Elephas maximus indicus: one gene and its partner. Each later gene encodes a partner of the first gene's protein in a complex. Links are inferred from orthologs where the notes say so. Each region holds a gene or a part of one and is shown on either strand. Other genes may lie near its edges.

Region 1 (8,129 bases):
ACCTAGCCCCACACCATCAACAGCTACTGCTCTGGCGAAATTTACAGATTCCCCCTAGAAATAGAATCAACACCCATGGAAGCCACCCAAAAAAAAAAAAAAAAAACCCACTGCCATCGAGTCGATTCTGACTCATAGCGACCCTATATAACAGAGTAGAACTGTCCCATAGAGTTTCCAAGGAGCACCTGGCAGATTTGAACTGCTGACCTCTTGGTTAGCAGCCGTAGCACTTAACCACTAAGCCACCAGGGTTTCCCCATGGAAGCAGCAGTCAAGAAATCAAAGGATGCACTGCACTGGGCAAATCTGCTGGAAAATACCTCTTTAAAGTGTTAAAAAGGAAAGATGTCACCTTGAAGACTAAAGAGTGCCTGACCCAAGCCAGGGTGTTTTCAATTGCCTCATATGCATGTGAAAGCTGGATGATGAATAAATGAGGAAGACTGAAGAAGAGCTGACATCTGTGAATTGCGGTGTTGGAGAAGAATAATGAGTGTATCATGGACTGCCAAAAGAAGTACAGCCAGAATGCCCCTCGGAAGCAAGGATGGCAAGACTTCATCTCACATACTTTGGACATGTTATCAGGAGGGATCAGTCCCTGGACAAAGACACCATGCTTCATAAAGCAGAAGGTCAGCAAAGAAGAAGAAGATCCTCAACGAGATGGACTGACCCAACGGCTACAATGGGCTCAAGCATAGCAACAATCGTCCAGATGGCGCAGGACTGGGCAGTGTTTCATTCTGCTGTACATAGGGTCACTGTGAGTCGGAACATTAGAAGCTGCTACTCTGACTCAGAAAAACAAATGAATTCCATGATGCAAGAATTATATCATAGTTCCCTGAAACACAGCAGACAAAGGAAGTGGCTAACAGGTCCAAATGATGTTGTAAAACCACCTTTAGGTGGCGAGGCACTTGAGACATTTTCAGACCCTGTCAAAGTCAGGAGTTGGTTCTGCCACAAACAAACAAAAAAGCTACCACTTATTAAGGCTGGGCCAGGCATCATGCTAAACACTCGGCATACATAATTTCACGTAATCCTCACAACAATCCTAACGATATCCCTGCTTTATCGATAAGGAAACTGAGGCATGGAGAGGTTAAAGAACCTGCCCAAAGTTACAGGGTTATTAATGAGCAGGGCGGGGATTCAATCCAAGCAGTCATACTCCAGAATTCATGTCCTTAACACTGATGCTAGTCATGCCTTTGGTTATGAAGTAACCAGGAATAGGCTTCCAGTTTCTAGTGTGCAATTATATTTTTGAGGTGCATTATACTCGCTGTCGTCAAGTCGATTCCGACTCAAAGCAACCCTATAGGGCAGAGTAGAACTGCCCCATAGAGTTTCCAAGGAGCACTTGGTGGATTTGAACTGCCGACCTTTTGGTTAGCAGCCATAGCACTTAACCACTATGCCACCAAGGTTTCCATTACAGCTCAATAAAACGTGTTTGTCCAAACACAGGCAATTGTAAGTATTTTGACAAATACACTCAACTCTTTCAATTGTGGTGTTGGCGAAGAATGTCAAATATACCACGGACTGCCAAAAGAACGAACAAATCTGTCTTGGAACAAGTACAACCAGAATGCTCCTTAGAAGTAAGGATGGTGAGACTGCATCTTACATACTTTGGACATGTTGTCAGGAGGGATCAGTCCCTGGAGAAGGACATCATGCTTGGCAGAGTACAGGGTCAGCGGAAAAGAGAAAGACCCTCAACGAGGTGGATTGACACAGTGGCTGCAACAATGAGCTCAAGCATAACAATGATTGTAAGGATGGCTCAGGATTGGGCAGTGTTGCGTTCTGCTGTGCATAGGGTCGCTATGAGTCGGAACCAACTCGACAGCACCTAACAACAACAACAACTTTCATAAGTGAGAGCCTGATTTGAAGTATGGGTCTCTGCTTTCAAAAGATCTGTGTTTACACAGGGGACAGAGTATCTATGCTCGCCACCTCTTCACTGGGGACTTTCTCCATCCATTTGTTTCAAATCCAAAGACAAGATGCAAAGACAGGTCAACCTGTCTGAAGCCACAATCAGCCCAGATTAGATTAGAAAGGTCAGCAGTCTTCCTTTCTCTTCCATTATGACAGTTGTATTGCTTTTTAACAAAGCACTTGCTTATCCTGCGCTCCTGGAGTAAGCAAAAACTATATCCTATTGCATGAGCAAACCTCAGGAAAACTAAATAAACAAAACTCTTGTTGGATCTTTGCAAGGGTCCCTTTAGCTGTGCTTTTAGAAGAATGTTTTAGTAAGAACATTTTGGATCTACTTTTCTTTTTAAGGTACAATTATCTCCATGAAACGTAAAATTGCTTGCCTATGTTATTTTTGAGGAATTTAAGTGGGGACAAAGAACAATTATTTAAATATAATGGTGAGAATTAATTTTCTTCACTTTGGTTTGCTGAAGTAGTAAAACACAAGCTATGAGTCTTTTTTCCACCTCTAAATCATTTTTTCAACATTCTTTATCTGACTCTCAATTCTGGTTTGGCCATTTGAGTTGTAAGTGAATATGAATTCTATCTTCTAGCATGAGATTGTTTCAGATAAGCTCACTTCATCAGGAATACAGTTACATGCCCTGAGATGTAATCGTTGCTACCTGGATTTGGGGAAATGATCTCTACTGCAGCTGGCCCCACAGGGCCAAGTGTCTGTGGTGTCACCAAGCTCCATGGATCACCATCCAAAATGCAATTCCCAAGTACCTCGGCTTCTCAAACAAAGTTCTGAAACAAGCCTCTTCAAAACTGCCATCCTTGAGCAAGATTATTCAGGGAACTTCTCAGGATCAAAGGCAATGTCTCCAGAACACAGAGCTGGGAGAACTGTTAGTTGCCTATCAACCTGCCTTCATCCTGTCAGCCACCTTTAGAGATGAACCCGGAGGAAATCCGGAGATGCAGTGGATTCCGCCCCGGGATGCGCTGACAGTTGAGGTCCTCCTAGGAGCTTTTCTGGAGATGCTGCTGGTTGAGTGGGGGGCACTGGTGGGTTACCCGCTCCTCTCCTCTAAGGCAGGGGCCCCGGGCCTGGCTTTTGAAGGAGCTGAGGATGCTGACCTTAACTTTGTTCTTTAAAAACAGCTCGGAGACCGCGGCGCTCACGTGAGTGGCCTGCTTCCCCTCAGGCCCGAGGCTCCCGGCGGCTCCTCGCCCCCAGGGTCGCGGAAGGGAAGGGCAGTGTCCCCGAGCCCCGCTGACAGACGGGACCCCCGGCCCGGGCACAGACTGGGAGGGAAGAAGGGGCGCTGAATGCGGTCGGGAGCCCGGGCAGGGCGGGCCAGCCTGGGACCTGGGGCCTGGGACGGAGAACAGGCCACGGCGGGCGCCGCGGCCGCGCTCACCTTCTTCACTGACAGCGAGATGTTCTCCAGGATCCGGTCCTTCACCTCTCGCGGCTCCATGGCGCCGCCGCCGCCCCGCCGCCTCTTCCCGCGCCGGGGGCCCGGGGCCGCCGCCAACCGCTGCCGCCGGCCGTGCGGGGACTCCGTCGTGCCGGCCGCGGGGCCCGGCGCCCGCCGCCCGGCCCTTGCCTCGCCCGGCCCCTCGCTCCGCCGTGGCCCGGCGGCTCCGGAGCGCGGCCGGCGGAGAAGGAGGCCGCGGGCTGTGCGCGGCGGCGGCGGCGGCAGGAACTGATGTCAGGCGGGGCGGCGCCAAGACCGGCGGTCGCGTCTGGGACGCCCGCGCAGCGCCCGCGCCCAGGCGACTCCGGGGACTTTGAGACCCCCTACCACTCGGGTCCCCCGCCCCTGCCGGCCAGGACCCTGGAGACTCCCTACGGCCCTCCAGCCCTCAGACCAGACGCTCGGCTTCCCGGCCCTCCTCGAACCAGAGACCTCGGAGAAACCTTCAGCTCACAGATGGTGCTCTCAACCCAGATACCCGGCCGGATGCCCCCCTAAACCCATAGACCCTAGCCTCCCGGCCCTCCTCAACTTAGACACCTTGGAGACTCCCTCGGTCCACAGACTGCAGCCCCCAAGCCCAGAACCCCCCAGGCCATGCCACCTCAGAGATTCCCTTGAAATCGCAGCCTCCCAGTCTCATCAGCCCAGAAATCCAGGCCCTGGAGCTTTCACCGACCTGGAGACCCAGAACCTGGCCATTTCCTGCTGAAAGAACCGGGCCTTGGCCTTAAGCAGCTCAGAGACCCTAGCACCCCCACCCAGCCCTGACTACAGACTCCAGCCCTCCGGCTTTCCCGGCCCCCGCTCCCCGCCGCCCTCGCCAGCCTCTGCACTCCACAATTCCTCACTCTCACTGCCCAGTCCTAAACGTTTAGGCCACCTCAGGTCTTCGGTATCCCTCTCTACCTCCAAAACATACCCTCTTCACTTCCGCCCTCGGTCCAAACACCACTTCCTACTCCTACCTTTACCCCACTTCAGCATCACATACCTGAGGTCCTCAACTACCTCAGCCTTGGAAATCCACCATTCCAACTCCCCTTATTTCCACACACACCTCTCCTCAAATTCGTCATCTCTTAAATCCCCTACATTTGGAGTTCTCTGTCTCCTGCCTGGCTTATTTATTTGGTTCCCAAATATATTCCTGATACACCCTTTAGTCCTCCCTTTTTATTCCTTGGCACCCCAACTCTCAACTCCTCATGTCCTCCCTTTCCTCTGCTCAGGCTACCCCATCCCTGAATCTCCCAGACACAGTCACAGTGCATTTGAAACACTGATTCTACAGCTCATCCAAGATGGACCCCACTCACACACACCTGAAACATTCCTCCCCATCCCTCAGTTTTGTTTTTATGTGACTGGATAAGGGGACAAAATAACCTCAGGAAAAGGAAAGAGAACAATTATTTGAAAAGCTGAGATTGATGCCTTCTATTACCACCTCAGGACCTAGGGCAAGAGTTCTTAATAATGATGATGACAATAATAAGTGTTGAGTATTAACTATGTGCCACACACTGAATAAAATGCTTCACATACATTTATCTCATGTACTCCTTATACAACTATTCTCATACAGATAAAGAAAATGAGGACCGGGGATGAGAGGCTAAATCATTTGCCTAAAATCATATAACAAGTAGTGGAGCCAAGATACCAGATACCACCCCAGAAAATCCTACTCCAGAAACCATTTGTATCCTTTTCTGGCCTAGGGACTCCCTTGCATTTTTTGTATACTATTCTAGGAGGTGCCCCTTATAGGGATTTGGTCTCACCATTTAGGAGAAGCAGCAAGGTCTCTGTAGCAATGAAACCTAGTACCCAGGGCATTTTCTTATTTATACTGAGTTCAGGAAAGTAAGAGACTACCTTTGTGGGGTTGCCATGGTCAGAATTGGCTCAACGGCAATGGGTTTGGTATGTGTGTGTAGCTAGGCAGAGGGTAAACTAAGAACAAGGGGATCCAGGCTGCAGTCACTGGACAGGTAGAGAAAAGGCTGAGGGAAGTGGACCAGTTTGAATGAGGAAAGAAATGGCCAGATGTCCAAAGGTGTTTGTGCTAAGTAGGAGGAAAGCCGGCTTGAATGACTAGTCTGATAACTTTGGTGCACTTCCTTCCCACTCCACCCAAGCCAGGGTGCTTACAGGCCCCAACCTGCCTGACATGGCCCCATCTCATGAGAATCTATTCTGCCCAAATCTGAACCAAAGAACTTGGTGATCCTTCTCTGCTGTGGAGTAGCAAGCCATCTTCTGCTGAGTGCCATCTACTGCTGGGAACCATCTTCCTACACATGGCTGCTCGTGACTCAGACATATGGCAGGTTCAACAGGTGTTGTTATTGCTTGGCTGTATATTTGGGTGTCTACCTGATCCACAGTGTAAGAAGACATGGTATCCCTGCCATATTGTTTTCAATTTCACCCATTGGGAGATGGTCACATTGAACTTTTTACAATGTTCAGGAGGCACATACAGTTTCACTGCCTATCAAATTTCTAAGGTTTGCATAGGTATGTGAGTGAGTGGCATAGATGTTTTAGTTCTAAGGAGACTTCTTGCAGGGGAGCGTAGGGGGCCAAGTGTGTGTTTTGATGTGCAGATAACTGCACCATGCCCACAGCTCAAATATGGAATCTATCCTGCCTGTCAAAAGCAGAGTGACCCTGAAAAGAAAAAACAAAAACAAAAACCAGGAAGCCTATCAATCCTTTTACTGGGAGTCGTTTAAACTCAAAATTGAAGCTCATTCATTTATTGCACAAGAATGTTGATCATGTGGAAAGTACATGAGACGCTGAGTCAAAGGGCATGAAGAGTCAAAAGCCTGAACTGACTCACACTTCACACTAGGGCCTCAGGCAAGTTACTCTGCCTTAGTTTCTAAATCAATGATGCAGGAAAAATGATTTTGTTCTTGGTTTTTGTTTTCTCCACAATATTGTCCTCACCTAAGTCTCATACTGCTGAACTCCATCAAATGAGGGAAGAAGTTGGAAAGGAAGGCAAGACCAGAGAAAGGGGCACCAGATCTCCTTTACTCTTTTTTCCAAATATTGTATACCGCCTCAGAGAGGAAAAAGGTAGGGAAAAATTCCAGTGGCATCATCCTGCCATACCCCTAAAAAGTCACTGGAGAGGATTGTTTTTTTTTAAAAAAAAAAAGTAGGGCATGGTTTAGGGACTAATATCCTCCCACCCCCACCCCAACTCAAGGAGAATATATTTGTTTCCAGAGGAGGGAGTAAATATTTCCTTGGTCATTGTGAAGTTGTTTGATCCCCATCTGAAGAGGCGATGATAGAAGGGTTGTACAAAACAGCAACGGCCCAGGTTCTCACACCTTAGCTCCAGCACCTAGAAGTGCAGATAATCTACAACTCTAAAAAAACTAGAACAAGACAGCTTTAATCTAGCTGATTTAAAAGTCTCCAACAGCTCCTGTCATCGCATTTGGAATAAAGTCTATACTCTTTTTCTGGCCTACAAGGCCATAGCTGATCTATCCAGCCTCCCTCTCTGACTCATCGTCTAGTCTCTCTGTTGGGTGTGTGCCAGTCCACAAGCTTTGTTCACATCTGAGGACCTTTGCTGGGAATGCTCTTCTTCAGTGTGCCTGAAACCTCTAACTGTTCACCAAAATCTACTGTCTCTTCCCACAGTGCTAGACTATACTTCCCAGCCTCCTTTGCAGCAGGCATGGCTATACGATTGAGTTCTCTCTATGATATGTGAACAGAAGTGAAGCTATTCATTTACAGGCTGGGCTTCTAAGTGAGTGGGTATTCCTTCTCCATATTTCTTCTTCCATCAACTGGGAAGAAGCAAAGAGGATGTCAGAGTTACAAGATGTAAAGAGCCCGGTTCCCTGAATCATTGCATGAAACAGCTGCTTGTCAAGTAGGAACACCTGCCTTGGACTATAAGATAGGTACGATATCAACTTTTGTTGTAATAAACCATTGACATTTTGGGAGCTCTTTGTTGTCAGCTTAGCCTAACCTAGTACATCCCAGATGCTCACCTGGAAGGAGCTTTCTCGTCACTCTGTTCTCAATTTAAATGTTACCTTCCCAGAGAGAACTTTCCCCACGATTACTCAACATTAAGTAGCCCCTAGTCCCTTCCGGCATGTCAATTTTCTAAATTTTCATCATAGAACTTATCACTTCATGGCATTTTCTTATTTATTGTCACTCTCCAAAAAGACTGCTATAATGTAATCTCCATGGGAATAGACTCCTTTGTTCAGCTCATTCAATGTATCTACAGCACCAACAGTGTCTGGCACATAGTACTCAATGTTTATTGAATGAATATCTTCAGATTAATTTTTAACTCATTTGGGATTCAGAGAATTTTTTAGCTGGCTCTAGAAGTAAATGGCAGGAGAAAGATGTGGCAGTCTGCTTCCATAAATATTTACAGCCTTGGAAACCCTATGGGGCAGCTCTACTCCTATAGGGTTTTGGCTTTTGTTTAGAAGTAAAAGGACAAAAAGAGATGTAAGGCTACTTCTCTTTGCACCTGATTTGGGCCTTTCCATTCTAGGGAGATAATGGAGGAGGAATTATGGTCAAAGTCTGTAGAACCATTAGCAGAGAGGTGCTGTTTGCCAATGTCCCAAATTAGCCTTATGTGTGAGTATAATAAAAAGTACTACTTCACATAGA
Region 2 (8,314 bases), on another chromosome or scaffold:
ATATTCATGGCCAATGAGAAATTCTGGCTCCTTGCCTGACTTGGCTGAGTACAGTAATGTCCTGTGGATAAGGCCCATGTGTTGTCATTTTAAGATGCTATTAGGCTGATAATCAGGCCAGTGGGACCATATGGAATGTGTCACACCCATTTTACTCTTTCGTCCAAACTATCATCACCTTGGAAACGCTGGTGGCATAGTGGTTGAGAGCTACGGCTGCTAATCAAAAGGTCTACAGTTTGAATCCATCAGGCGCTCCTTGGAAACTCTATGGGGCAGTTCTACTCGGTCGTATAGGGTCTCTGTGAGTCAGAATTGACTCGACGGCAACAGGTTTGGGTTTTTTTTATTATCACCTTCGACAAGTGTAAAGGTAACCAAAGAGATGCCCGAGAGACCAGATTTCCAGGTCCCCAAGCTGAATGACTCATTTACTGAAAACGACTTTATTGAGTTAAGTAGAAATGGTTCCTGTTCCTAAGGAGATTACAGTTTTAAATCCTGTCCCGGTAATACTCTCTCCCTCTGTGAATCAATTTTCCCATAGGTGAAACTAGAATGTTCTTCAAAGATTTGTCCAGCTCCAATGGCACAGAACATTACCTTTCTTATATAAACAGCCACACAGCAAATACGTGGGTCAGTCTTATCTCTTGCCCCTGTCTTCGCCATCTACCTTCCCAGAGCCCTAACTTTTACACAGGACGTGTGAATGGGTCCATGTGTTTGAGCGTGTGATCCTGGATTCCTAGCCTTTTGACTAATTCTTGACAAAGTTCAAAGGGAACAGTGCACCCACAGGACTTTGTACACTATTGAACTGACTTCAGTGGAAAATGCCTTATCAGTGAAAATATCAAATAAAGCTGATCTCCTCACTCGTATTTTACAAATGAGAAACCAAGCATCTGAATTGTTATCCAATTGTCTAGAGTCATTTTGCTCCAGAAACAGCAACTAACATTTAAAAAACCCGAGCCATCAAGTCGATAGGACAGAGTAGAACTGCCCTATCAGGTTTCCAAGGAGCAGCTGGTAATTCAAATTGCCAACCTTTTGGTCAGCAACTGAGCTCTTAAGCACTGTGCCACCAGGGCTCCATGTGTTAATACTGTGCCAGACAAGAATATAAGAGCTGTATGTGGACTCGTTCATTTACTCCTCACAATAACCCTTTGAGGCAGATAACAATGTTATCCCCCTCTTCAGGAAATGGAAGCACAGAGAGGTTAAGCAAGTTAAACAGTTCACATAGCTGATAGGTGGAGAAACAGTCAATCTACCTATGTAGCCTGTATTCAGTAAATATACCTTTCTGCTTTTCATCACTTTCATTAATCTAAGTTAACTTTATTTTATTTAATCCTCATTTTAACGCAATGAATTAGATATTATCAACGGTGTGCTGTTAAATGTCTAACAGCCTGTTCTCTGGGGAGCCCTGATTTAGTGTTTGCCAATTTCTGTAGTGTAAATACTCACACCATGACCAATTTCAAGCTACAACATGACATCCCTGAATACAGAATTGGGGAGATACTTAATAACTCTCCTTTATATAGTATTTACACCACTGTCTTAGTTACCCAGTGCTGCCCTAAACAAAATATATCACAAGTGGGTGGCTTTAAAGGACAGGAATTAATCTCACAGTTCTGGAGGCTTAAAGTCCAAATGCGGGTCTCAGCAGTGTCGACTCCGTCTGTGAGCCTGTCTTCTAGTCTCCGGTGTCTGCTGGCAATCGTTGGTGTTCCTTTGCTTGTGGATAATCTTTACCTGCTGTCTGTCCTGTGCATATGTGTGTCTTTGTGTCTATTCTGCCCTTTTTATAAGACACAGATTAGAAGTGTCTGGCATGATCTGATTAACATAACAAAAGAAAAACCTTAATTCCAAACAGAGTCCCATTCATAGGTACGGGGGCCTGGAATTCAACGCGTATTTTATGGGGACACACAATTCAATCCACGACAACCTTACAGATACGACACCTGTAAACAGCTTTAAGGGCATAGATAATAACAAAATAATTAGAAAGTGAAGAATTTTGAATATTAATCGCCTTTCTTTTCTATAAATAACCGTAAGTTCAGTGAACAAAGGAAGCTACAGAGAAATGTCTACAAAATGTTCCTACTTTTGTATATAGGAGAAACTTCCCTGCCCCATATACATGTATAAGTGTTCAGTTGATTGACAAAAGCTGTTAAAATTCATTTCCTCAGAGCTGGGGGACTGAGCACACAAGGAGACAGACTATTACCCTTTCCTTATTACACCTCTGGATTGTTTGTTTTTTTTAATAAACAATATATTGTGCTTTTGTGATAAAAATGAATTTATGAATTCTTTTGTTCTTTTTTTTTTAAGTGAGAAACTAGAATTAGGAGGGGAGGATGGCTTTTCCATTAACTAGGCATTTTAGAAGTGACGTTAACTACAATGATTGTGAAGGCTGAGGAATGTCCAATTCCTTATTTTGAAACGAACTTATTTCTTCACTTGTTCATCTGTTTACTTGTCCCTCTGAGACAGCAGACATCTAAGTGCCTCCTAGAGGTGGTCCCAGGAGCTGCCATCACTCCCTTAAACCAGTAGTTTCCTGAGCCATTTCACTGCTTCTGCTCTTGTCCTCCCACAGTCAATTTACCGCAGAGCCTCCAAAGGGAACTTCTCCAAACATAAATTAGATCACTCTCCTGGCTTCCCATCACACCATGCTCTACTTCATCTGGTTCCTTCCTCTTTCTCCATCCTCATCTCTTCCCACTCCCTGCCTTACTAATCTGTGCCAGCCATACTGTCTTTCTGTTTCTAGAATATTCCACGCTTCTTCTGCCTTCAGGTCTTTACCCTTCCACCACATGCCTGCCTATCTCTCTTCCTCAGCTCATCTAGGTCTCCACGTCCAGGGCCACCTTCTCTGAGGGGTTTACTCTGACCCTAAGTGGAACAGGGTCCACTCCTTTCCTCTTTGTCTCCTTCTCCTGTTCCGTTTCCTTTAGAGTACTCATTATTACCTGTGTTAGAGCTTATATTTATTTATTTATTGTATTGTATGTCTTCCCTGCTACAATGTAAGCTTCACAAGAGCAGGGATTTTAATTTGAAAATCTTGAAGATATTTTTATTTACTTTTTAATTAAATTAAATTTTTGAACAAGCAGCTGATTTACATGGTTAAAAAATCAAAATGGTATAAAACATTGTTCAGAGAAGTCTCATTCCTATTCCTGCCCCTTGCCCATCTGATTCCCCCATCCACATAGGAAACTATTTTCGTTAGTCTTTTGTTTATCCTTCTAGTACTTATTTATGCAAATATAAACACATATATATGAATATATTTATGTTTATATACGTAAAAGAACATATATATGTTTTGTTAGGTGCTGTTGAGTCAATTTTGACTCATAGAGACTCCATGTAACGGCGTAGAACTGTCCCATAGAGTTTTCTTGGCTGTAATCTTTATGCAAGGAAATTGTCAAATCTTTCTCCTGTGAAGCTGCTGGGTGGGTTGGAACTGACAACCTTTGGGTTAGCAGCTGAGTGCTTAACCATCAGGGCTCCTTGAATATATATATATATTCTCACTTTCTATGTTATGCCAAAAGTATACTATGTACATAGTTAGCATCTTGCTTTTTTGTCTCTTGAAAATATTTCCTGGAAATTATTCCATATAAATCCACAGAAAACTTTCTCTCTCTCTCTTTTTTTTTTTTTTACAGCTACATAATATTCCATTTTGGGGATATACCATAGTTTATTTAATCTGCTCTTGACTGATAAACACTTGCGGTTTCCCATCTTTTGCTACTACCAACAATTCAGGACAAGTTTTTTTTTTTTTTTTGTCATTTTTATTTTACAGTTTGTAAGTAATTCCGATTTTAATAATGTTTTATAGACCATATAGTGATCTCTCTCTCATATGTGTGTGTGTTTGTGTGTTTTAGGTGAAAGTTTACAGAGCAAATTTGTTTCCCATTCAACAAATTGTACAGGAAGTGTCCCATGACATTGGTTGCAATCCTCACACTTTGTCAACACTCTCCCCTTTTCTGCCCTGGGTTCCCCATTTCCTTTTACTTGCTTTTCCTACCCCTTCCTGCCTTGTCATCTTTACTTTTGGTCAAATGTTGCCCTTTTGGTCTCCTATAATTGATCTATGGGCAGGTTCTTTTCAGGTGTTACTGTTTATTTTATGGGCCTATTGCTTGGCTGGAAGGTGGTTTCCAGGAATGGCTACAGGTTCAAGTCAGAAGGTTAATTTAGGGCCATGGTCTCGGGAGTTCCTCCAGTCTCTATCAGGCCAGCAAGGCTGGCCTTTTTCATGAATTCTATTTTTTGTTCTACATTTTTCTCCCACTCTGTCCTGAACCCTGTATTGTGATCCCCATCAGAGTGGTTGGTAGTGGTAGCTGGGCACCATCTAGTTCTTCTAGTCTCGGAGTGGTGTTGTGTAAGCTGTAGTGCATAGGGTCTGTTAGTCCTTTGTACTGATTTCTCTCTTGAGTCTTTGGTTTTCTTCACTCTCCTTTACTCTTGGCAGGAAGAGACCACTAGTTGCATATGACAAGGATTTTTACTTTGTGCTAAATCCCCCAAAATCTTGAAGTCTTCCTGCACAGCGTAGAGGCTCAATGAACAATTGTAGAATGAATGAATGAATGTGTGAACGAAGGTTGAATGATCCAACGATGAACCAGCAAACGAGCGACGGTAGAAAGGGAGCTGCAACGCGCCCCGTCGGCGTGGTGTGCTGCAGAAATGGTCCACCAGGTGGCGGTGCAGGCGGCGGGCGTCCCGGGCCGGCGGGCCACGCCGCTCTTGCCGTGAACGCCGGCGGCGGCGCGGGGACGGCCGTGGGGGAGGACGAGTCATATGACTCTCTCGGCTTCCTGGCTCCGGCCGCCGCCGCCCGCCCGTGTCCGCCCGCGTCGTGCCGGGGCCCCGAGGAGCCGTTGGGGGGTCCGGGCCGTGGCCCTCTCGTGTGGAAGCCGCCGCAGCCGCCGCCGCCGCCGCCCACCTGCCCACCCGTCCGTCTTCCCTCCCGGCCGCCATCATGCTGGCGCTCATCTCCCGCCTGCTGGACTGGTTCCGCTCGCTCTTCTGGAAGGAGGAGATGGAGCTGACGCTCGTGGGGCTGCAGTACTCGGGGAAGACCACCTTCGTCAATGTCATCGCGGTGAGCGCCCGCCGCTGTGTCCGCCTGGGACGCCGCCGCCCGTGAGCCCAGCCCAGCGCCTCGTCGAAGGCCGCGAGTTGGGGCCCCCCTCCGCGCGGTGGAGCCCCCCTCCGCGCGGTGGGGCCCCCCTCCCCGCCGTGGGGCTCCCCTCCGCGCCGTGGGGCATGTGGGGGCGGGGGTGCCGAGCCCGACCTGTCACCTCCCCAGGGGTGAGCGTGCGGAGCGTCCCGCGTTGTGGCGGCAGAGCCGGAGCGCCCAGCTCGGCGGCTGGAGGGTTAATTGGATTTAGCTGTCGTGCTCGAAGGGCTGTGCCCTCCACGCGGTTGCGGCTTGGAAAGGGTTAAATTGGGCGTGTTAGCTTTTTAAAGTGTTTGGGGTTGGGGCTTCTCTTGGGTTAGGTTTGTAGGGGCAGCCGAAGGGTTCACGCCAGCCTGCCACTGTCCCCGAAAGGTGGGATTTGGCGAGTCTCTTAGCTCTGTGAGAGAGCTGAGATTTGAACTTTAAGTTGCCACTTGGGACGAAGAGTCCCTTTAGGAGGATGGCAGGAGACCGGTGTGGGCTTCTTGAATTCTGTGGGCGGCCGTTTCCTTCTAGTTCTCTAAATCGCCCTCTTCATCACTTCTTTTTCCTAGTTCCCCTCCCACCCTCTGCCCCCCGGGGGCCGAGATCTAGCTGCTGGCAGCGCTCACTGGTCCTTTCCGGGGAGGGACAGCGCCCGCGTGTCCACAGTGGTCCACAGTGTTTATTAAGCTAAGGAGTTAGCGGCCCCTGCTTTTCAGGAGCAAGGAGATAAAGTCGATTTGCAGTCAGCATAAAGCCAGCAAAAAGAAGAGCTATCTTTTGAGGGTGTTTCACTTTTAAAGAGAAGGAATGGCAGGAACATAGCTTATTCCAGGTTCAGGGAGTGGGTGTCCAGGAGGGAGATGACCCTGGGAGTTTGTAATGTGGTGTTTACTAAAAAATGACTGAGTGGAAGAATGAGTTTAAGTTTTATTTGTTTGGTGGGGGGGGGGGGGAGGGAAATAGGCTTTATTTAGAGCGCAGGAGTTGGTGTGACTCAACCTTAGCTGATTGGGGCTTCTACATGCCAGGGATGAGCTTTAGAACAGTTTTAAAGAGAGATGGCAGCATTCTTCTGCCACTTTGTAGATGACTGTGTAATCCTTATTTAACAGGAGACTAGCTGTCCGACTGGTTTGGTTACAGGAATGATTCAAACATGGCTCTCTTGTTGGAGAAAATAGGTAACTTGTGAGCTTAAATTTTGCAGTAATAGAGCAAAAGCAGTGAGTAAGAAGAATTGGAGAAAAAGAGATGAACAGAAATGCAAACTTCCTTTGCAGAATGTAGTCTATAAGTATAGAGAAAATGTTTGTTGAGTCTTATTGTAATATTATTTTCCCCTCGCCTCCCCCCATCCCCGTTTGAATGAGTGTCTTTTCAGTAAGTATAAAAGAGTGTGAAATGTGTATCTAATGCCACTGAAATTAATGAGGGAAAGCAAACTTTAGGCTACGTATCCATATTAGAACTGTTATATGACGTGGAAAAGATGAGGCTTTATTTAGCTTGAGTGAAGTGAGCTCAGTTAAGCGTAAATTTTCTGATATTCCCTTGAGATAAGAATTGGAGTCACTTTGTAAATCCTGTCCCTTTGGTAAGATTGAATTAATTTGTATTGTAGATAGGTGTATTACTACAATGGTTATATTTGTGGTAGAGAAATAGTTATGATTGGGAAACATAAAAGAGTAAATCTTTGAGAAACTTCTGGTTGATTTCCATGCTATGTTTTCAGTACATAGTGCATAATGAGCGTGAACTTTGAAGTTAGGCAACTCCGGGTTTGAAATCTGGCTCTGCCACTTGGCAACCTTATATCCTTTGAATCTGTGCTCTCCTGTCTGTTAAATGGGGATAATAGTATGTTCCCTACAGTGTTTCTCCGGGAATTAAATGGAATGACAGATACAAGTTCCTAGCACAATGCCTGCCCATAGAAGGGGTTAGGTAAATGGAAACTGTTATTATTTGTAATGGGTACAGTCCTTTAATGCAGAAACAGTGTTTGAAATTTATTGAGGAGAGTCTCAGCTGGGATTATTTCCTTCTTTGAATCTACGTAGTATCCAAACATGGGCTGCCGTAGTGGATTTGTGTATTATGGCAAGCAGTCACATCGAATCTTACGCAGTATTTTAACATTAAGCTGTATTCTGTTTGAATTGTAGTAGTTTGTTAGGTTCTCTTAAAAAAAATCTGGACTGCAGCTAGCTGGGACCTTTCAGATGCTGGAAAAAAAAGGAGACCTCAGTAAATTTCATACCTTTTTTTTCCTTTTCAACCTCTGACTCTAATCTAATCTGTGATTCTTTCAGAATATATTGAGAGTGGGGAAAAGGTTAGTGATTAAAGATGATTTTATAGACTTTTAGACAGACACAGTGTGTCCTGAACAGTAGATTTAGCCTTACCTTAAAAAACAAAACAACCTGACTATTCTTCGTGTTTGTATAAAGTGTTCGGTCTGTTGACTCAGAGAAATGCAGTTCTGTTGAGCACTAAGTCATTTTCTGAAGTTGGCCATTTATTCAAATTCAGCAAGTAACTTTGGAGGCATGAAAGGCTTCAGGTGAAGCCATTTGTGTTTTTGTAAAAATTAAAATGTTGCTAGATCTTCCTTCAAAGTTAAGAAAAATTTAATAGATGTCATTTACCTTACTCAAAATGTTTGTGAGACTGAAATACTTATATGCAGAATTTGGACCAATTTTAAAAGATTAGGCAGCTTCATTACAGAGAGGTTCAATCTTAAGAAAATGTATATTGTTGTAGTTTTAAAATTGAAATGACACCGTATCTTAGCTAATATTTTATATAGAGACAATCGCTATATGTAGTGTTTTCTTTAGGACATTTTACAAAAGAAATATTCCTGGTCACTATTGCTAAGCATTGTGACAGTTGTTGTGTAAGAAGTCTTCTCCCCTGTATGTGTAATGTATGTTGGGTAATCTTTCTTTTCAACTGGGACTGTTAGATGGATTATAGTGTAGCTGGTTTTAAGAAATATTTAAAAGGATTTGGCAAAACATTATGAGGTAAATTTTATAGAAATTG

The links.
Region 2: the proteins of PLEKHM2 (region 1) and ARL8B are in contact, whole or in part, in a crystal structure (PDB 8JCA), measured with the Homo sapiens proteins. The link is inferred for Elephas maximus indicus from reciprocal best matches to the Homo sapiens genes PLEKHM2 and ARL8B. Residues at the interface, in NP_055979.2 of Homo sapiens: His70, Phe71, Thr72, Arg73, Arg74, Glu75, Glu103, Ser105, Glu107, Ser108, Tyr109, Arg111, Leu112, Glu115, Glu147, Phe148; in NP_060654.1 of Homo sapiens: Glu22, Thr52, Val53, Gly54, Phe55, Asn56, Met57, Lys68, Trp70, Arg77, Phe78, Arg84, Tyr85, Arg87, Gly88, Val89.

Annotation. Positions count from the first base shown.
Region 1 is NC_064821.1:55,427,025-55,435,153, reverse strand, and holds the start of PLEKHM2 (pleckstrin homology domain-containing family M member 2), read right to left. Parts: upstream 3,558-8,129; 5' UTR 3,444-3,557; coding exon 3,384-3,443; intron 1-3,383. UniProt on the Homo sapiens protein: Plays a role in lysosomes movement and localization at the cell periphery acting as an effector of ARL8B.
Region 2 is NC_064838.1:29,413,628-29,421,941, forward strand, and holds the start of ARL8B (ADP-ribosylation factor-like protein 8B), read left to right. Parts: upstream 1-4,858; 5' UTR 4,859-5,071; coding exon 5,072-5,194; intron 5,195-8,314. UniProt on the Homo sapiens protein: Small GTPase which cycles between active GTP-bound and inactive GDP-bound states.